5 linked regions of the Oryctolagus cuniculus genome follow. The protein of the gene in region 4 purifies or fractionates together with the protein of the main gene of each other region. This does not show direct contact. Links are inferred from orthologs where the notes say so. Each region holds a gene or a part of one and is shown on either strand. Other genes may lie near its edges.

Evidence for each region.
Region 1: the proteins of ANAPC13 (region 4) and ANAPC7 purify together in Homo sapiens (affinity purification with mass spectrometry; 3 studies listed by BioGRID and IntAct, counting the BioPlex papers as one, with this or other methods). This does not show direct contact. The link is inferred for Oryctolagus cuniculus from reciprocal best matches to the Homo sapiens genes ANAPC13 and ANAPC7.
Region 2: the proteins of ANAPC13 (region 4) and ANAPC4 purify together in Homo sapiens (affinity purification with mass spectrometry; 9 studies listed by BioGRID and IntAct, counting the BioPlex papers as one, with this or other methods). This does not show direct contact. The link is inferred for Oryctolagus cuniculus from reciprocal best matches to the Homo sapiens genes ANAPC13 and ANAPC4.
Region 3: the proteins of ANAPC13 (region 4) and CDC27 purify together in Homo sapiens (affinity purification with mass spectrometry; 5 studies listed by BioGRID and IntAct, counting the BioPlex papers as one, with this or other methods). This does not show direct contact. The link is inferred for Oryctolagus cuniculus from reciprocal best matches to the Homo sapiens genes ANAPC13 and CDC27.
Region 5: the proteins of ANAPC13 (region 4) and CDC26 purify together in Homo sapiens (affinity purification with mass spectrometry; 4 studies listed by BioGRID and IntAct, counting the BioPlex papers as one, with this or other methods). This does not show direct contact. The link is inferred for Oryctolagus cuniculus from reciprocal best matches to the Homo sapiens genes ANAPC13 and CDC26.

Annotation. Positions count from the first base shown.
Region 1 is NC_091452.1:8,083,784-8,087,783, reverse strand, and holds the start of ANAPC7 (anaphase-promoting complex subunit 7), read left to right. Parts: upstream 1-1,194; 5' UTR 1,195-1,680; coding exon 1,681-1,781; intron 1,782-4,000. UniProt on the Homo sapiens protein: Component of the anaphase promoting complex/cyclosome (APC/C), a cell cycle-regulated E3 ubiquitin ligase that controls progression through mitosis and the G1 phase of the cell cycle.
Region 2 is NC_091433.1:20,489,744-20,493,253, reverse strand, and holds part of ANAPC4 (anaphase-promoting complex subunit 4), read right to left. Parts: intron 3,461-3,510; coding exon 3,355-3,460; intron 20-3,354; coding exon 1-19. UniProt on the Homo sapiens protein: Component of the anaphase promoting complex/cyclosome (APC/C), a cell cycle-regulated E3 ubiquitin ligase that controls progression through mitosis and the G1 phase of the cell cycle.
Region 3 is NC_091448.1:16,932,748-16,936,967, forward strand, and holds the start of CDC27 (cell division cycle protein 27 homolog), read left to right. Parts: upstream 1-1,414; 5' UTR 1,415-1,626; coding exon 1,627-1,653; intron 1,654-4,220. UniProt on the Homo sapiens protein: Component of the anaphase promoting complex/cyclosome (APC/C), a cell cycle-regulated E3 ubiquitin ligase that controls progression through mitosis and the G1 phase of the cell cycle.
Region 4 is NC_091435.1:146,958,759-146,962,985, forward strand, and holds the start of ANAPC13 (anaphase-promoting complex subunit 13), read left to right. Parts: upstream 1-1,419; 5' UTR 1,420-1,624; exon of another isoform or gene 1,625-1,665; intron 1,666-1,803; exon of another isoform or gene 1,804-2,688; intron 2,689-3,663; 5' UTR 3,664-3,711; coding exon 3,712-3,810; intron 3,811-4,227. Other genes in the region: CEP63 (centrosomal protein of 63 kDa), read right to left, coding at 1,130-1,260. UniProt on the Homo sapiens protein: Component of the anaphase promoting complex/cyclosome (APC/C), a cell cycle-regulated E3 ubiquitin ligase that controls progression through mitosis and the G1 phase of the cell cycle.
Region 5 is NC_091432.1:216,878,125-216,882,191, reverse strand, and holds the start of CDC26 (anaphase-promoting complex subunit CDC26), read left to right. Parts: upstream 1-1,265; 5' UTR 1,266-1,499; exon of another isoform or gene 1,500-1,952; intron 1,953-3,258; 5' UTR 3,259-3,361; intron 3,362-3,950; 5' UTR 3,951-3,990; coding exon 3,991-4,067. UniProt on the Homo sapiens protein: Component of the anaphase promoting complex/cyclosome (APC/C), a cell cycle-regulated E3 ubiquitin ligase that controls progression through mitosis and the G1 phase of the cell cycle.

The sequences.
Region 1 (4,000 bases), on a different chromosome or scaffold from region 4:
AAGCTCCTGCGTGGGCTTCCCCCATCCCACTCTTGACTCTCCTCTCCTAAACGGAGCCCCACGAGGACTCTGGCACTTACCATTTCTGTGAAACTTCTAAAATACTTTTCCTAAATATGTATATATCCATAAGCAATATATAGTAAGTCTTCAAACTTTATTAAAACGGTAACTACAGAGTGATATAATTACGCAACCTGCTTCAGCCACTCTTTTTTTTTTTTTTTTTTTCAAGATTTACTTTAGTTGAAAGGCTGAGGCTGAAAGAAAGGGAATTTGCACCTGCTGGTTCACCCCCTAAAAGCCCACAATGGTTGGGGCTGTGCCAGACTGCAGCCAGGGGCCAGGGACTCCCATGTGGTTCAGGGGCTCGGGCCCTTGTGCCATCCCCTGCCGCTTTTCCAGGCGCATGAGCAGGGAGCTGGATCAGAAGTGGAGCAGCCAGGACCTGAACCGGTGCTCACATGCTCCACCGTGCTACTAATGTATAAAGTAGTCTCATATTTCTCCTCTCCTGTGTAGGGTTCTTGCTATTATTTTTGTTTTGGCCAATGTTTAAAAAATTGGGACTAATTTTAAAATCCAGATTTATGATCCTAAAATTTAAGATCATGACTTCTGAAGAGTCACAGAAGAATTCCCGCACGGGACCGACAGAGGGAACGCGCCCGTGCTCACCCCTGCGCGCTGCTCCCCGTCTGATGGCTGGGTCCCTGCCCTTTATCAGGAGGCGGGCACAGCGGGTGACCCGCCAGCCGCGACGCCGCAATCCCGTCGGCTCGGCTCCGACCCAGCTCCCTGCTGACGGCCGGGGGAAGGCAGCAGACGGCCCGAGCCCTCCCCCTGGGAGACCCGGGCGGCCTTGGGGGCAGTGGAGACTCGTCCAGGTGCGCCTAACGCGGCCCCCGCCCCCGTTAGTGCTGGAGGTGCGCGCGACCCGGGGGTTCCAGGCCAAGCGGGCAGGTGCAGGCGCCGACCGCTCCGACAACTTCGCGGGCAGGTCGGCGAGCGCGCCACGCGGGAGCTGTGAGAACGTCCGTGGACCGTGCCACGCACGTGCTGCCACGGCTGCCCGCCATTCACCCTGACCTAGTGAGTCATTTAACGAGGGAAGCTGACCCCTTCGCACCCAGCGAGAAGTCCACTGCGGCCGGACACACGTCTCCGGAGGAGGGGGCGTGACGACTTTCGCCTGGTGCGCATGCGCGCTTGGAAGAACGGCTAGGTCCGCCTCTGGCGCCTGATTAAAATATTTAATTCCAGCCGTCGAAGAGTTTTACTCCACCACTTTTATTTTTGAAAAATTCCCATGCATTTCGTTAACTTCCGAGAGGCCCTAGAGGCCTCTGGGGCTCCCCTTATTTCAAATGAGGCTATATTCCTACTGGGGTGCCTTTCGTGCCAACGGAGAACCTCACTGAGGTCTGCCGTTTAGGATGATGACGTAATTGTCGCGTGAAAGACCGCCACAAGATACCGTTCCAGCTCTCAGGCGAAGGCGGTGGCGGCTGAGTTTCTTGCCACTCAGGCACTTCGGTAGTTACCTATTTCTCGGGGGCGGTGCCGCGTGTGGACCCGGAGGACCCCGGCGCCGCCGCCATTTTGGAACCTTCCTAGAGCATCCTTTACCGGCTTTCCGCGCCGCCGCCGCCGCCGCCGTCCGTGGCTTCGCCGGGCAGGATGAATGTGATAGACCACGTGCGGGACATGGCAGCCGCGGGGCTGCACTCCAATGTGCGGCTTCTCAGCAGCTTGTTACTTACAATGAGTAATAACAACCCGTGAGTTGAGGCGGGGAACGGCCTGGGGCTGAGGAGAAAAGCGGCGGCGGTCTGGGAGCGGGGGCCGAGGGGGCGGGAAGGAGCGGCCGCGGGCCCCCAGCGGAGGCTCCACGATCAGCCCGCCGGCTTGGAAGCGCAAGTTGGACGGCCTTGGCCTCGGCCTCGTCCCGGGCTCCCTGTAGGGGATGAGGCGAGCGGCGACTTCGACCGATGGAAGGCGGAGGCTCCGAGAACCACCTGGCGACGACTTCCCAGACGGGGGCGAGCGAAGGGTTTCTCGAGGCGTCCGTCGCCGGGCGACTGTCAGCCACATCGCCGGGCTGAACCCCGCGCCCCCGGCTCCTTCCCGCTCGCTGCAGCGCAGCCCCAGGCCTCTGGTTTCGATAGCCGATTCCCACCTCGGAGCCAGATTTGGTTCCTCTTGCGTGTGTCAGAAGGGCCCCCTTTCTCGCCTTGGCAGAGTCCTGGAACCGGGAGACTCGGGGCGGGGGCGGGGGCGGGGGCGGGGGGCGGCGCCCTTCTTGTTTCCGGAGCTGCTGTGGGTTGAGTCCCGCCACAGAGGAGGCACAGGGCCGGTTCCAGCCTTGAGTGCTTGTCGGTCCCCGCTGGGTTTCGGCTAAGATCCCAGCACAGCTCTCTCTGACCTGAGGCCTCTTCGCCGGACCCCAGCCTCCCTGACTGGTGTGTGGCCCTTGACTGCCCCAGGCTGGTTCTCACGCCTGGGCCTCTGCACCTGCCGTTGGCATGGTAACCCCCCCCCCCCCGCAGGTTTCAGCCGCCCGTGTCCCTCCTAGAGAGCTCTTTGACCATCAGGATTTTGTCCCGTTTTCCCACTTGGCTGTTTGATGCGGTAGTGGTTTTTACTTTTTACATGGTTCTTTTTAAACTCCGAGAGAGCACTCTCTCATCTGCTGGTTCACTCACCAGATGCCCACAACTGCTAGTCGGGACCTGAGCCCAGGTGCTGGGACCACAGCCCAGGTCTCACGGAGGTGGCTGGAGCCGTTATTCGAACCATCACTGCCGCCTCTCAGTGTCTGCATTAGCAGGAAGCTGGCGGCAGGAGCCAGAATTGAACCCGGGCATTCTGATGTGCGATGAGGGCGTAAAGGTCGGCTCCCCGTGCTCTGACCACCTGATGGAATCAGCGCGACATCTGTTGCGTATTGAACGTGCTAAGGAAGGGTGTGCACCCTCGGAGAGGTGAAGCACTTGTCCCGCTTGGCACAGCCAGGAAGTGAGGGAGCCGTCTGGCCACTGGTTCTGTGGCCTGAGTCTCCATTCCGACCTCTCAGTCTGCGACCTCCGGGTGGCAGTATGATGGCTGCTTCTGCTCTGTGTGGACCCGCCGGCTTTGGCCTCTTCATAGCTGGTGTAGGCCAGGAAGGAAAGGCCTCCCTCCATGGCTGCACAGCAGACACTACTCCCCTTCTCTGTTAGTGTGCTTTGGCCCTCGCCAGTGAGACCACCACCTGCCACCATCCGCTTAGTGTTGACAGTGAGGAGCTCTGGTCTGTGCCAGCCTTCTGTGTTTATTCTGGAACTTGTACTTGGTTCTGAGCGATTCATCAAGGCATACAGTTTCCAGCGTTGGTAATTAATGCATCAGTTAGTCATTGCTCTTGGTTCTCAGAGGTGTTACAGGGCTGTTAGAGCAGTTGATAACGCTGGTTAAGCTAAGTTTGGTTAGCCTGCGTGTTTTCATGTCGGGGTTGACTGGCAGTTTCCTACCTTGTTTAAGTTTTGACCTTTATTGTTTGTGTGTGTGTGTGTGTATATATATATATATGTATGTATTTTAAAGATTTATTTATTTATTATTTATTTGAAAGACGGAGTTACAGAGAGGCAGAAGCAGAGAGAAATCTTCCAAATGGTCACAATGGCCAGAGCTGTGTGTATCCGAAGCCAAGAGCCAGGAACAACTTCTGGGTCTCCCACATGGATGCAGGGGCCCAAGGACCTGGGCCGTCCTCCGGTGCTTTCCCAGGCGCATTAGCAGAGAGCGATATTGGAAGTGGAGCAGCTGAATCGTGAACCGGCACCCATCTGGAATGCTGGTGCTGCAGGCCAGGGCTTTAAACCACTGTGTCACTACACTGGCCCCATGCGCACACACTCTCACACACACATATATAAAGATTTTATTTATTTTTTGAGAAAGTTACAGAAGGAGAGAAAGGTCTTCCATCTGCTTGTTCACTTCCCAGATGGCCGCA
Region 2 (3,510 bases), on a different chromosome or scaffold from region 4:
GCAAGAGCAAAGGCCAAAACTAGAACAGGGTGAGAAAAAAAACAGAGTACTTAGTGCAATGTTTGAGAAAAACAGGTACTTGGCCTACTGTCCAGTTTTACTATTTTAAACACATCTAATCATAAAGGCTTTTTTGCCTAAATGTCCCCCCTTTAAGTGCTAATAACTAAAGATCCTTGCGCAAGCTGGTTTTCAAGTGCGGCAGTGCTACCGGAGCACCGTGACGGAGCTAGGGTTTGTCAAGCACCCCCAGTCTAGAGCAGCACTCCACCATCAGGCAGAAAATACAGAAGTCTCAACAGACACGCAATTCAAGCTCATCCCCACGACGTACTGGGCCAGAAACACATCTAAGAGGAAAGACGTGTTTCCATCGGCTTTGAAGGATTTTCATTTTCTGTCTGTTTCTAACCCATAATGGGAAACAAGGCCTTCAACTACTGAGGAATCCTTTTATCCTGACTGTGGCTGATTATCTAGCATGCTTTCTGCACAGAAGTCATTAATGCCTTCTCTTTTTTTTTTCTTTTTTCAAAGATGTATTTATTTATTTGAAAGGCAGAATTACAGAGAGGCAGAGGGAAAGAGAGAGAGGTCCTCCATCTGCTGTTTCACTTCCCAAATGGCTGCAATGGGCGGAGCTGAACAGATCTGAAGCCAGGAGCCAGGAGCTTCTTCTGGACCTCCCACGCGGGTGCAGGGGCCCAAGGACTTCGGCCTTTTCCCACTGCTATCCCAGGCCATAGCAGAGAGCTGGATCAGAAATGGAGCAGCCAGGACTCAATCTAGTGCCCATATGGGATGCCAGCGCTTCAGGCAGTGGCTTTACCCATTAGGCCACAGCGCCGGCCCCTAAAACCTTCTTCTTTCTTTCTTTCTTTATTTTTTTTTAAGGATTTTAAGACTTCCTACAAGGAGGGCAGTAAGTTTTACTGCTGAGAGCTGGACTGGAAGAGTGAACCAGAGGAAGGACAATCTCTCTCTCCCTCTTCCTCCCTCTCTCTGTAACTCTGCCTGTCAAATAAACAGATAAATCTTAAAAACGTTTACTTTGGTGCAAAGTAAGTCTGAAATTTGTGCTTTTTCATAATACATATTTTCTATTTACTTTTGGAAGATCCTATATATGAATGGATTTCAAAATTTTCTGCACCAAAATAAACTTTCAATTCCACTCCCCATGAACTTTTTTTTCTTTTTTGAAAGGCAGAGTTACAGAGAGAGGTAGAGCCAGAGAGAGGTCTTTGATCTGCTGGTTCACTCCCCAAATGACTGCAACGGCTAGAGCTGACCTGTTCCAAAGCCAGGAGCCTGGAGCTTCTTCCAGGTCTCCCACATGGGTGCAGGGGCGCAAGGACTTGGGCCATCTTCCACTACCTTTCTAGGCCACAGCAGAGAGCTGGATCGGAAGTGGAGTAGCCGGGACTCGAACTGGCCACCATATAGGATGCCGTCGCTGATGGCTGGGGCCTTAACCTGCTGCTCCGCTGTGCCACAGTACTGGCCCCCTCCCATGAACATTTTTTTTTTTTTTTTTTTTTTTCAAACAGGCAGAGTTAGACAGTGAGAGAGAGAGGGACAGAGAGAAAGGTCTTCCTTCCGTTGGTTCACCCCCCAAATGGCTGCTACGGCCGGCACACCATGCTGATCTGAAGCCAGGAGCCAGGTGCTTCCTCCTGGTCTCCCATGGGGTGCAGAGTCCAAGCACTTGGGCCATCCTCCACTGCCCTCCCGGGTCACAGCAGAGAGCTGGACTGGAAAAGGGGCAACCGGGACAGAATCCGGCGCCCTGACTGGGACTAGAACCCGGTGTGCTGGCGCCACAGGCGGAGGATTAGCCTAGTGAGCTGCGGCGTCAGCTCCCATGAACTTTTGAAGTTGCCTCATATTTTAAGCAAAGTGAGTATAGAATGAATATAGTACATTAAAGCATTCCTGGACATCATACTTCCGGGAATTAATCTAAGGAGCTAACTCCAAGTATCAGCGCTCCCAGTGTTCAGGATATTTATGTATAGCATCTTTATAAAAACCAAAAACTAGAAACTATCTAAATGTCCACCTATGAGGATAGAGTTAGCAAATCACAATATAGAAATACAGTGGATTAGTATGTAATCATTTAACATTAATGTGGTTAATCTATCCACAGTGACAAGAAAAAAGCAATATAAAAAACAAAAACAAAAAAACTACACAACAAAATGGCATGTATTAGGGCCAGTATTGTGACACAGTGGGATAGGACACTGCCTGTAATGCTGAAATCCCATATGGGCACCGGTTTGAGTCCTAGCTGCTCCATTTCTGATCCAGCTCTCTGCTAATGTGCCTGGGAAAGCACTGGAAGATGGTTCAAGTGCTTGGGCCCCTGCACCCACACAGGAGACCTGGATGAAGCTCTTATCTTCACCCTGGCCTAGCCCTGGCCAGTGCAACCATTCAGGGAGTGAACCAGAGGATCTTGGTCTCTCTCTCTCTCTGCAACTCCACTTAATAAATAAATAAATCCATTTTTTAAAAATAGCATGCATCGAATGACCTCCCTCTGATAAAACTGTATAATGTATATATTCTGCATGTATGGATTTTATCAGAAATTTTAGAGAAGTTGTTCTCCAAAACAAAGTTATTTCTGACTTATAAGGTTTTCAGGGAATTTTAAAGCACTTCATTATATTTATCTGGGGGAACAAAATAAGCCATGAGGAGCTCATACCATTCTACAAAACCAGTATCCCCAAAGCATCAAAGACACAGATGACGTTCAAGCTCCGTGGTGTGCACACATCACTGTCCTGTGTGTAGCGGCTGAGATAAGGATTGGCATTGTCCATGCAACCCATGGAGTAAGAGTTCAATCGTCAGAGCCATAATGAGCAACAGCACAAGGGCCCCAGGAAACAGGGCGAGGAATGGAATCAGAGCTGAGGGAGCCTAGGAGTGGCAAGCAGGTCTGCACAGCGGATGCGCCACACGCTCAGTGGGAAATACACGGCTGGGAGGCCTTGAACTGAGCTGACTGTGAGTGGCAGGTGGTGCTGGGCCCAGGGGTGCAGGACCAGAGATAGCAGAAAGAACAAAGCTGAAGCTTTCTGTGGATCCATCGGATTTCAGCTCAGGGTTATCTTTGCCAAGAAGCTGGACTCCGTCTAAAAGAGCCCTCTGCCGAGAATTAATCTGAGCTTTATGGAAAGATGTTAAAGCCTGCTTTTGAAAAATGCTCCCCGATTGGCATTTATAACTCCAGTATAGTCTAACAATAAATTCTTTCTGGAAATAAGCTTTCTTTAGAGGCTATTTGATTTTCACCCTTTGTGAAAATACAGATTTTTTCTATAACAGTATCATTACGTTTGCCATCTGGTCTCCAAGCCAGACAGGTCACTTCCTTTCCTGTGTTTTCATTTGGTGGAAAACTCCAAACTCGATGAAAACTTGCAAGTCGGTGAAGCAAAACCTAAGAGAAAACAGATATAAGGCAGTAAGTAAAAAATCCATTTCCAAAAA
Region 3 (4,220 bases), on a different chromosome or scaffold from region 4:
TTAAATTTTAAATAGCTGGTGGTGACTATGTAAGTCAGCACAGAGGTCTCTGAAGTGAGTACTGGGTGACACTGCTTGGTACACCTGCACCCCCTATAGGATTGTCTGCTTTGAGTCCTGGCTCCTCTGCTTCTTGGTCCAGTTTCCCGCTAACGTGCATCCTGGAAGCAACAGGTGACGGCCCCAGTAGCTGGGTCCCTGCCACCCTTGTGGGAGACGCAGATTGAATTCTGAGCTTCTGGCTTTGACCTGGCCTAGCCCCAAGTAGTGTAGGCATTTGGGGAGTGAACCAACAGACAGAAGATCTGTGTCTGTCTGTCTCTGCCTTTCAAATAAAATGAAAATAAATAAAAATTTACATACAAAACCACGCCTCTGGACTTCCAATCCCAAACTCCTCCCAATACACCGGAAAACCTTTCCTATCAAGAATAAAAATTCCTAGTTGCCTTTTGAGATCTTTCCATGCTCTGGGCACCTAAGTTAACCCTTTCCAGTCACTGCCTTAACTCTTACCAGACTGATCAAGTATCTCTGGCCTTCACCTTCGCTTTTTTCTTCAAGATTTATTTTTATATATTTGAAGGGCATAAGTAGAGAGAGAGAAAGAGAGAGAGAATGAATCGATCTTCCCTCTGCTGGTTCACTCCCCAAATGACCACAATAGCAGGGGCTGAACCAGCCCAAGGCCAAGAGCCAGGAGCTTCTTCTGGGTGGGTGCCTGAGCCCAGGGGCTTGGGTCATCCTCCGCTGCTTTCCCAAAAGCATTAGCAAGGAGCTGGATCATAAGTGGAGCAGCCAGGGTTCCAACTGGCGCCCACCACTATCTTCTCTTGTAATTCTAACCATCCTTCAAAGCCCACTTAGCATCTTTCTCTCTTTCCTCAATCTTCTTAATTTTTACATTTGTAATGAGCTCTTTTGTCCCGTCATTTTCCCTGCAAATGGACGGCCATCTCCTTGAGGACAGAAGCCATCCTGTAACTTTGGGGCGTGGAAATCTTCCCAAATATCCCCCGAGCCGTGGATGGGTACTTCTGGAATGCATGAATGCCCTAAACTCGAGAGAAACACTTCTTGATTAATCTACATCAGCCCCAAACCCTGGCGTTTTGCTGTGTTACCCTTTGCGCAGTCTACCGTGCACCAACTCATTCGGAAAGGCGGAGTAGACCCGAGACCGCAGCCCCGCCACGTAACGCTCCCCGCCCGCTCCGTGACGCCACTCCCCGACTGCCGGTTGCCGATTGGGCGTGGTGCAGTCTAGCGTGGCCGATTGGGCGTGGCGTGCGTGGGTGAAGGCGTGACTGGGAAGAGGAACCTACGCGCCCGGGCCGAATCGGCAGTTTCCGGATGTCCTCGCCCATTTCCGGCAAACGGTCTCCTCCTCCACCGACCCATCTCGGGCATTTCCGACTTGTTTCGGGCCTTTCCGCCTCGCTTTCGCGCAGCTCGCTCCACTTCGGGTATTTCCGTGTCCCGCTCGGCGGGGCTCGGCAATCGCTCGGCCTCCCCCATCCCCCGGTAACGGTCGCTGGTGAGTTTAAATGAGCCGGGGCTGGCCGGGCCGAAGCCGCTACGGGGGGGGGCCTGAGGCACTGCAGAGAGTGGGCCTGAGCCTCAAGGATGACGGTGCTGCAGGAACCCGTCCAGGTAACGATAGCCCCCTTCTCCGAGGCCTGGCCCGCAGCCTCGGTCGGGAAGCCGCGTATGGCCACTTGGCGGCCTGCTGCGGCCTAGGCCCGACTGCCTCTCCCGCCTCCCCTGCTGCGGGTCCTGCCTCCGAGCCGAGGCCTTGCCCGCCGCCGCAGCCGTGTTGCTCCCGATCCCGCGCTGCCTCTGTCCCGAGCGGGAGCGGGTTTCGAGGATAATGGGCGCTCTCCCGTCCGAGCCCACGTCCGGCCAGCCCCTCCTGGTAGTCCAGGGGCCTGGCCTGGCTCGGACTGAGGGGAGGCGGCCCGAGACGCCCCTGGGTGCCCCCTCGGCTGAGGGATGCGTGAGGAGCACTTTGGATCCGAGCTTGTGTCAGCTCCGTAATGGCGGGGCAACTTTGCAGGGGTTTTTTGTTTTGTTTTGTTACACGGGTGAGGATGGAGGGAGGGAGGGAAGGTAGGATGGGTATTTTTAATATTAATTTCTGTGTTGGTAACAGACACGTTGCCTTTCTTGCCCAGTGACTTTCCCACCGGAGGAGGAGGATCTGAGAACTCCAAGGCCCAGTGCTGAGGGGCAAGCACCTATGCTGGGGGGGGGGGGGGTGGGGGTGGAAAGGGCAAACCTGGGTTTTTCCTTTACCGGTGGTGGGAATCGGGAACATTTGATTGTTCAAGTTCGTCAGGCGTCCAGGAAATGGAAGACAAACGGCTTTTCCGTCCATCACTGCCGTACCACACCAAGGGGTGCCTTGGGGCTCCGCGCTCTGTTGGCGTGGGAGGACCCTTGTGGGCTCCTACGAGGGTGATGCAGTGCAGGTCACTGTCCCCCCTGCCTGTCTGAAGAACGGAACCTTTTGTCCCTTGGTGATGGATCGGGCCTGGGAGATTTCATCCCACCATATATGGTCTTTGACTCGATCACAGAGGAGCTGACCTCTGTCAGCTGCTGTCACTCAGTCATAAACTTTGAAGTTATGAAGAAAATCAATTTTAGAAATCCCTTCATATTGTCCCTAATAGGCCTGTGATTTCAAATTGTAAATATTTTAATACATCAGTACTTCCATAAACATGCTTAATTTTTCTTCACAGCACGAAATTCTCATTCCTCCTGGTTTGGTTTCTTTTCCAGTTCTTTACCCATGTAGCTGTCAGTGTTGGAATTAATATAATGGAGGATTCTGTCTTAGGAAATTTACCTGTTTGCAAGTTGTATCAGTTTTTCCAAAGGTATTCCACAGCAGTTTCTCTTCCCAATATGGAGTAATTTTTAAGAATTTTTTAATCACAAAGTGATTAGTTTCTATTTCATACTCTTGTAATTTTGTCTTAGTGATTCCTTTTCTTTGGCCCTTAAAACCTTCTAAAGTGATGAACTAGTTACATTGATAGCATATAACCACTGTTTAATAATAATTTCAACTGTATAAAGTATGAAAAAGAAAATAAATGGCTTGCTTCTATATAGTACCCATCAGGTTTCCTATTTTTCTTTAAAATACTCTTAGCAATAATACACTTAGATATTTTAAGTCTTAAAAAGTCTAATTTGTCTCCCCACCCCCCCATGTTAGATTTGGGGGTGGTGGTAGGGAGTTTCAGGCTATGGCTAAGTGAGAATTTTGGTAGTAATTTGGTTGAGCTCTTGTAGTGTAAGAAGAAAGCAGTCAAGGGATCTGGAGCAGTGCGAGGAAAAGCAACTTTGGCTCCAAAGACAAATATCAAGGACAGTGGTGAAAATGGGAAAGAAGAGAATAAAAATAGGACAAGATATAGTCTTCTAAAAAATATATATATTGACTGATTGTGTATATTTAAAAAGGAATGAGAGTAAGTTGGAAATTTGTTTCTTTCTAGACTGCCTTAGGGTTCACTATATTGCCAGGTGTAGGAAATAGTAGAAAAGTTGAGCAACTGTTTACTTTTTTTCTTTAAACTTTTAATATGGAACTGCCTTCTCAAATTACCTCTCATAGAAAAACATAATATTTGAGTCTTTACAAAAATCATATTCTGAGACAAAAGTTCTTCAGTTACTTTCATAGTAACTTCGGGAAAGAGACACTGGCCTAAATGACTTCAATCAGTGCTAATTTGGTTGTATATAAAAGTCACCCAATGAATAAAATGTTTTAAGAGGCAGATATTTGTATAGATTTATCAGTAATTCCTGGGGTTAAGACTTTTCAAACATGTCAGAAGAAATTGTAAACAAGCCTTTTGAAAATCATTTTAATAAGCAATATAGTAATTGGGTACTATGTATACCATATCCTTTTACAGTTCATTAGGTAGAAGGAGTATTTTTGGCTTGGTATAAGATGACTGGGGACAGCATTTATCATGGATTCAAAGAGTACCGATTTCTACTGTATGAGAAATATAATGGTGAGGAGGGAACGAATAAAAACTAGTCTCGAAGATGACGGTAATCTAGACTAAAGTGGTAGCAGTGGAGTAAGAAGAAAATAGATAAATTTGAGAGATGTTTTAAAGATGGAAATTTAAGAAATAGTTGGGAGGTAGAATCAGTAAGACATGGAAATTGATTGGATATGGGGGACT
Region 4 (4,227 bases):
ACCACGGGAGGAGCTGCAGCTGTACCAAGCACTATGCAATGCAGAACTGGACTGTGTGCTCTGCCATGTTAATCAGCGTACCCGCTGCAGCTGGCTAGGCGGAGGTGCAATTCCAGGGGACCCAAGCACACCTCGGGAGGCAAACAGGTCAGTGTAGAACAGCAGAAAGAGGCCAGAGAGCCGTTTGCAGGTAGGATTTAAAAGGTCTATCAGTCAAGCACACAGGGAGATCTCGGGGTGAGACCTGGGATCAACTACACACAGGGATGGGGCAGCTGAAGAAACCCGAGCCCCGCGGAGGCCCACAGTAGGGAATTCTGATCTCCACAGGTGTGAGAGTTCTGTGGCTTTGTGCAACTGCAGAAACCAACCTAGCTCTTGGGGGCGGAGGGGAGGGCTAACATAAACCAGAAATTCAATGCCTGCAACTTTGAGGTCCATGTTGCTTTTTGCAAGCCGACAGCGTGCGTGCGGAGCAGGAAGGTAGCCGTGAGAGTGGCCCACACAGAGGAGCGCGGGGACTAATCGACCTAAACAACCCTTAGAAGCGAGTTTATGAACTTGACTCGCACGGGCTGCAGAGGGCAGTGTCTAGGTGGTTACACATCTCTAGCCCATTCCAGTTTCAGGGCCTTGCTAACTAGCAAGGAGCTCAGCAGGAAAACCAAGGGCACCGCCTTCCGAGCAAGCGAACACAGACTCGATCACCAAGCTACATCCGTTAAAGATTCAGTATGCAGCCCGTGTCGCTCCTGGTTTCCTCTTCGTAAACTCAAACTACACGGGGAGCAAAACTGTGCAAACGCGGGGCGTCTGAAGCCGACATCGGGGGTCCGACCCTGGGCTCGGGGGAAGCTGCTTCGTGCAGCCCTAAACGAACAGGAGCTTCCGCCACTGTCCCAGGGCCGCCAGGGCACCGCAGATCCAGCCCCAGGAGCCTGGTCGTGTAGGGCGTTACTGAGCAACCGCTCCAAGCCATTTCCTTCTATGTGAATATGAACGTCGAGGGCGGCCTGCCTCCTCCAACCCCGCCGACGCCACCCTGCAGCCTCCCCGCGCAGGGAGCACTCCACGCAGCGGCGCCCGAGCCCGCGACCCCCCTCCGGCCGGCCTGCGGGCCACGGCTGACCTCCCCGCAGGGCCGCACGCCACCGCGGACTGGGCCACGGCCGCCTTCGCGGGGCCACAAGGCGTGGGCGGGCAGGCCGAGGGGCGCCCCTGGTGGCCGGCGGGCTGCTGCAGAAGCCAGTCCCGGGCCATGCGGCCGCGCGGCTGGGGGCACCAGGTTGGCCAGGGCCTCCGGACCAGGACACGCCCGCCCCTCGCAGGGGCCTAGGTCCCCACTGGCGGTTACCCAGCGGCCGCCGCGAGCGCGCCCGTGGCCTTCCCGTCGTTACCTCGGGACGGGCCCGCGCACGCGCGGCGCCGCCGATCTTACGTCCTCCCTCTGCCGCCGACACGTTCGTTCCGCCCACTGCCGCCTCACCCCCCCCCCAACCCGGACCGCCCCTCCGCGCGCATAAATGGGCTCACCCACATCCGGGGATCTGGGAGACGGGCGAACGGGTCACGTGGTGCCGGGGTGTGGCCGGGAGGAAGCGCTGCTGCTTTGGGCCGGGTGCTGGTAAGAGTTTCCTGCGTTCGTGGCGCGGGTCTTGGTGTGACGGGGTCGAGTGCAGCGGCCGCGGCCGATGCCTTCACCTCACCCTTGGAGTGTGGCGGGCTGGAAGGCCCTGACGTGGCGGCCCCAGACCTCCCCCTCCTGGTTTCCCCAGTTGGTAGCGCCCGCCTCGGGCCGGAAGCCGTGGTTGTGGGTTGGCCTTCCCGGTACGGTGGCCTGCGAGGGTCATTTGTAGCGCCACAGAAAAGCTGGGGTGGTGTTTTGTCTTTGATCGTGTAAATGCTTAGTCACAAAGCTTTGGGAGACAGAGATGGACAAGACGTGCCCCTGTCGCAGGGAAGGCACGCACTGTCTGTCTCCCTTGTTGGCGCCAGGCACGGCGCCCCCAGGACAAGTAGGGCTGGTTGGCACACTGGTCAGCGGTGGCCCTCTGGCCGGTGCGGAGAGTGGTGTGACGGGAATTTGTTGATCAGGGCCGGGGTTCCCGTGAGGCATGCAGAACGGAGCCTAGCCTTGCTGTAGAGGTGGTGATTTAATCCTGAGTCCTGGGTCTGGGGTCCGGGTCCGGGGCGGGGGGCAACCTAGCCCGGACACCATTCCCTGCATGCAGTGGGTTCACCTGAAGTCGCCAGACTGCAGGCCAGCGGGGAAGGCGAGGTCTGATGCAGAGGCGCTAGGGGCAGGATTTCAGAGCGGGAGAGTGGGACTGGGCGGGCGGTGTTTGCGGACAGGTGGAAGAGACCTGCTGGGGGATCCTGGTGCAGGATTTGCACCTGCAGCCAGACAGGCGTGCCCGAGCCGCGGGCCGCAGAGCTGAGCTCGCTTGTGTCTGGATGAGTCAGGACCGAGGTCTCCGGAAGCTTTTATAGGAGGGGGCTCTGCGAGGGCCTGGGAAAACCAGCAAAGGGGACAGACTGCACCGCATATAACTGCACCTGAGCCTCAGGAGCCCTGAAGACAGGCTCCTTCAACGAGTCGCCGCGTGGTCCTGGGCCAGCCTTGGGGCCCCACGCGGCTTGCTGGTAGCGGAAGGAGCGCCTTTGCCGCAGTTCTGCCCGTTCACCGAGGTTAGAAACCTCTCCGCACCCCGACGCGGGTAGAATTACGGTCCAGGGGTTAGGAGCCGTCTTGCTGTTAGGAGAGCAGAGGCCCGTGGATGGAGTGGGATCCCGCCGCCCGCCGAGGTTTTCTGTGTGCGCCTCCGCAGTGTCAGATGCCGGGAGGGCCTGAGGGCGCCTTTGGTCCAGTGGAGTGCGGGCCGTTGGGATTAACGTGGAGGAACGCTAGCGATGAGGGAACCTGCCAGCCAGGCCTCTGCATGAGGTTGCAGCTGCTCAGGGGACAATGAGGCTGGCAGGAGGCATCTGTGCACTGAGTGCAGCTGGGAGTGGGGAGATACCATGGTCCCTGAGAGGGGGGAGGGAGACACCATCGTCACTGAAGGGCGGGGGGGAGATACCGTGGTTACTGAGGGGGGTATACCATGGTCCCTGAGAGGGGGCAGGGAGACACCATCCTCACTGAAGAGCATGGGGAGAGGGGATGGGAGGGGAGATACCATGGTCCTTGAGAAGGGGGAGTGGGGAGATACCATGGTCGCTGAGGGGGGCGGGATGGAGATACCCTGGTCTCAGAGTGGGGGAGCAGCCTGGGATGCCCCAGTTGCTCACCTGGAGGTGCCCCTCTCGGAGCTCGGCCGGGCCACTGTTTTAGGAAGGAAGCAAGCTTTCCGACGCTCTCGCCGTCCCTGGCCTGAGGCCTTGCGGCAGGCCTGTCCTGGCCACGTCCTAAGGTGTGAGCTGAGCGCGTGCAGTGCGCTCCTGTGCTGAGGTTTGAATCGGGGCAGGTGCAGACGGATGGATGAGTCTGTCCAGAGGCGCTCACTGCACAGCGTTTGTCGGCTGACCGGGCGCAGGAACTCTGGTTTTTAAGTTGTCACTTGACCGCCTGGAAGAGGACCTCTTCCTGCCTTCACGGGAGGCTCGGGAATGCCTGGGCAGTGCTGGTGCTAAGTCCACATCTTTCCTGCCGTCCCGTTTCAGAAGGAACCCCTTGGCGTCCGGCTCCGCCGAGATCAAAGCCACGGGAACATGGACAGTGAGGTGCAGCGGGATGGAAGGATCTTGGATCTCATCGACGACGCTTGGCGGGAAGACAAGCTGCCTTACGAGGATGTGGCGATACCGCTGGTAGGTGGCGATGGGGCCCGGGACCGTGGCTGGAGGCAGGGTGTCCAGGGGCTGTACCAGGAGGGCAGAGAAGTCGGAGCCGCGGGGGCGTATGAGCGTCTCAGCCCCACAGAGCAGTGTGGTTCAGAAAGCGGAGGTAACCAGCACGGCCAGGGGTCTTGCCAGGGCTGCGGCGCCACCCTCCGGAGCCGTGTTCTGGCTGCCACAGCACAGCCGGAGGGAGACCGGACAATGAAGTGTGCCGGACAGACAGGAGCAGCCGCATGGAAGCTAACCGGGGCCCCTGCTTCCCTCGGCCCTGTCAGCTGCCGACGTTTCCAGAACACGCACCTGTCCTGCGTTCCCTGGGAAATACTCGTAAGGTGCCTGGCTTGTCTTCATAGTGACTGGGCCAGCGGGCTTCGAGGGCACTGTTTT
Region 5 (4,067 bases), on a different chromosome or scaffold from region 4:
AAAAAAAAAAAAGGCTCCTGGATGATGCTAGGTAGTGTAAGCAAAATATGAGTCTATAGATTCAAGTTTAAAAATTGAAAACTTGTAACATAAAACTACAGCTATCTAAGCTGAGGAAGGCACGCATTACAGAAAACTGGAGGTAAAGGTAAAGATGGACTGAAATCTGTCATCTTACCGGAGGTTATATTAATATTTCCTGCTTCAATTCCTGCTTTAAGTCCTTCTTTTCCCAAAATCCCAGATTCTCCTTTGGCCAGCCGCTCCCTTTCCTTCTCTTCCAGACTTCCATAATAAATGTGTGGCTTCTTCACCACCGGAGCCACCAGGTCATCAGGCGCTTTCGTTTTGGTGGCCTGCTAGACCGAAGGCTTCGATTAATTCAAGGCTCGATCTTAGCAATCCACGAGGCTTCCCTAAAGGGTGAAGTTCATCCTGACCTCCCCCAACAAAAGGCCAAACTGGGCGCCAGGGAAGATGCGCTTCACGGACCCGCGGGTGTGGGGATGGGGGCGGGAGGGCACGTCAGCCCTTCAATCACTTCCAGTTTGACAGCTTGAAGAGGTGGATTAAACCCGGTTCTCCGGGTGGTTCTGCCTCTGGAAGACGATCACTTCATTCTGTTGGAAGTGCAAGCTCTTTTTGGGTTTCGTGATACTTCCAGGGTTACCGTTTAACACGGGGGGAAACACCAAGGGTAAGGTAAAAGAACCGGCGTGGTGCCGAGGGAGGGGTAGCCAGTGACAACGCTCCTGCTCGGTCCATCTCAAGCGTTTTGAGACCTGTGGTAGCAGAGCAGGAGCCGGGAGGCCTCATCCCAATTCCGAGGTCTCCTATAGACAGCCACCGTGGCCAAGACACTCGCCCACTCCGGAGCCCTGGTTTGGACCAGTCGGAAGTGGTGTTTGCCGTTCGGGGCTGCGGTGGGACAGGTGCATACGAGTAACAGCACATACACTCGCTCAAGGGTCCGGGGAATGCTGCTCTGCTCTGGAGGGCAGGACCGAGTCCGGCAGCCCTCCACCCTGTCAGCCCGCTCCCTAACGGACCCTTCCCCGAGGGACCCCCACCCTCTCGGCGCTCCCTGCCGCAGTGAACTGAGATCCCGAGCTCCGTACCGTGGAGGACGCTCGTGACGAAGCCATGCTGGGCTCCGCAGCAGCCAAGCCCCAGAAAAAGCCAAGCTCTCCGTTTCAGACCATCCACCGCGCGCCCAGCAAAGCGGAACTACGTCACGGACCGGAAGTGAAGTCGGGCGCCGACGCAGCGCCCTGAGCGGCGCGGAGCATCATGGGAGTCGTAGTAGTTACTATTCTGGTCGCGTGGAGGGGCATGACCCTTAGAACCTCCGAGAAAAGCTCGCGGGAGACGAGGTTCTGGAGGGGAGAGGGGCGCGAAGCACTCTGGGAAGTGTAGTCCAGTTGGGCTCGCAGTAGATTCGTGGTGGGAGCTGAGGTTCCTTCCGGGAAGGGGCTGAGCGGGCTTGGAGAGAGAGGAAGGTGAGTCAAGTCGCGCGGCCGGGCGCTGAACTCTGGAGCTTACCGAGGGCTCCTAGAGACTTTACGTCGTCCCGGGGCGGAGGCCCATGTTGCCATGGAAACCATCGCCCGGACCGCTGAGTGTGGTCCTGGGGCTGGGCGAGGAGGGTTGTCGGGGTGGGGGTGGGGAGGAAAGTCCTCCCGGGGCCGGGGGCTCCGGCCGAGCTGGCTCAGTTTGCGGTGGATTTGGGCAGCGGTGAGAGATGAAGCTCAAAGAGCCCTCTAGCGTCTAAGTGAAGTAAAGAGCGGGCGAAGCTTCGGCCCGGTTTTGCTGTTGCTTTTGTTTCGTCTTCAGCCGGGTCTTTGTGTCAGACTGAGTGAGATGATGGCTAGGAAGGCGTCGGGTAGACCGCAGCCGACTCTCCTGCATAGCCCTGTGCTCCTCTGGGTGCGGGGGCATCAGCGATGAACAAGGCATGTAGTGGGTGGGAGACTCAAAATGTTCGTGTTTGCAGAGCTGGAACACCCCCCTCCCCCATCGTTATCTCTTCCGCCCCCCGCCCCCAACAACTGCAGTCATAAGTGCCTGTTATTTATTGAGCGTTTACTGAATACCACAGTTGTGTAGCCAGGAGCTTAATCGGCATTACGCCATTCAATTCAGACAGCAACAGAGTATAGAGGCAAGGAAGGTCTGGTGCGAGACAAAGATCGGAAACTTAAAGGGATCGGAGCCAGCACTTCAGCCGGGTCTCTACCCTGCTTCCTAGTGGTGGTGGTGGGCTTTTCGTTTTCGCAGAAAAGTTAAAATGCATAGCGATCTTCTCAGTATCCCTTCCTCACCCCATTTGGAACTTCGTTTTCCTCTGCTGCTTGTCGGCATTGGAATCTGGTGGACAGTATCAGATTTAAGTCAAAGCAAATTGAAATGTAATGTTTTGTCCTGGAAGAGGGGCAACCGGGACAGAATCCGGCGCCCCGACCGGGACTAGAACCCGGTGTGCCGGTGCCGCAAGGTGGAGGATTAGCCTAGTGAGCCGCAAAAAAAAAAAAAAAAAAAAAAAAAAGTAATGTTTTGTGTTACCACTGCGTGTCTGTCTCAGGCTTCATGGGAGGAGGAGGAAATGTTTCTTCTTTTATGCACTTCTCAGTCCCCGGTTTCATCCTGGGTACAGCCAGTGGCGTTCATTTACATCAGTCTCATTTAATCCTCACCCCACGGTCCTATGTGTGACTCCTACAGGAGGCCAGACTGGACAGCTTGCTTTGACTTCTTTCTCTGTAAAATAGGACGATCTTGCCAGCCTCACAGGGTTTTCGTATTAAAATAAGCAAGTGAAGAATGGTGATGGAAAAATTAGCCCAGTGCTCACTCAAGTTCATTTTACTTTAGTTGTTTCCTATATTCAGGGAACGTTTACTGACTGCCTAATGTACATACACAGACTCTGTTGGGTGCCATGAAGGTGCCCCTCAACAGATACTAAACGTGATGGGGAGTTCTGTTTGCTCAAAGAAAGGGTTTTTGTTAAAAGTATTGTCTTGACTCAGACTGTTCTCTTGAGCTTCTTTGTGCACTTGTTCTCTCTGCCTGCTCTTTAGATGTCGACTAAGACTCCATTTAGACATCATTTCCTGCCATAGGCCGTGTTTAACATCCCTGGCCACCACCCCACACCTAGTCCAGCTTTCGGGCCAGCATGGCTGCCATTGTATTCTCATCAGTGTTCTTGCTCCCCTCGCTGTTAATTTTCCCCTCACGTGTCTGTTTCTCCCACAGGTTGTGTCTGTACCTTTTAATTTTGTAGCCGGAGCACAAGAAGTCTTTGCTAATGAATGATCTGTCTGGTTGATTGAGACACTGAAGAGAATCTTGTGAATTGGTGAGTTCAGTTTTGCCTAGAATTTTCTTATAGGCAGCTTGCTGGTGTTCAGTTTTTTCAGAAAGAGGTTTTTGAATCACCGCGTTGTGGATCTCCATCATGAAATACAAATGTAAGAAGCATACACCTAAAGCCTTAAGAAATCTATGTGTGGGGCTGGCATTGTGGCACGGAAGGTAAACCACATCTTGCAATATGGCATCCCATATCAGAGTCTTGGCTGCTCTGCTTCCAGTCCAGCTCCCTTCTAATGTGCCTGGGAAAGCACCAGATAATGGCCGGTGTGTGTGAACCCCTGCCACCCACTTGGGAAACAACAATGGAACTCCTGACTCCTGGCTTTGGCCCGGCTCATCCAGAGACACTGTGGCCATGGGAGTAGTGAACTATGGTGGATGAGAGATCTCTGTCTCTCTGTGCCTCTCCATCTCTTTGTCACTCTGCCTTTCAAAAAAAGAAAGAGATCTATGTGTGAATCCAAGTTTGATTTTGCTATTGCCTTCACTTTAGTGTACATGTGTAGAAATTGGCCTTATGTATGTAACTGCAACGTATCACCTCCAGTTTTTCTCTGTGTCATTTTTAATAGCTCATAGTTGATTGGATCTGCTCTCAGTGTAGATTTCAGTATGCTGCGACGGAAACCCACGCGCTTGGAGCTCAAGCTTGATGACATTGAAGAGTTTGAGAGCATTCGAAAGGACCT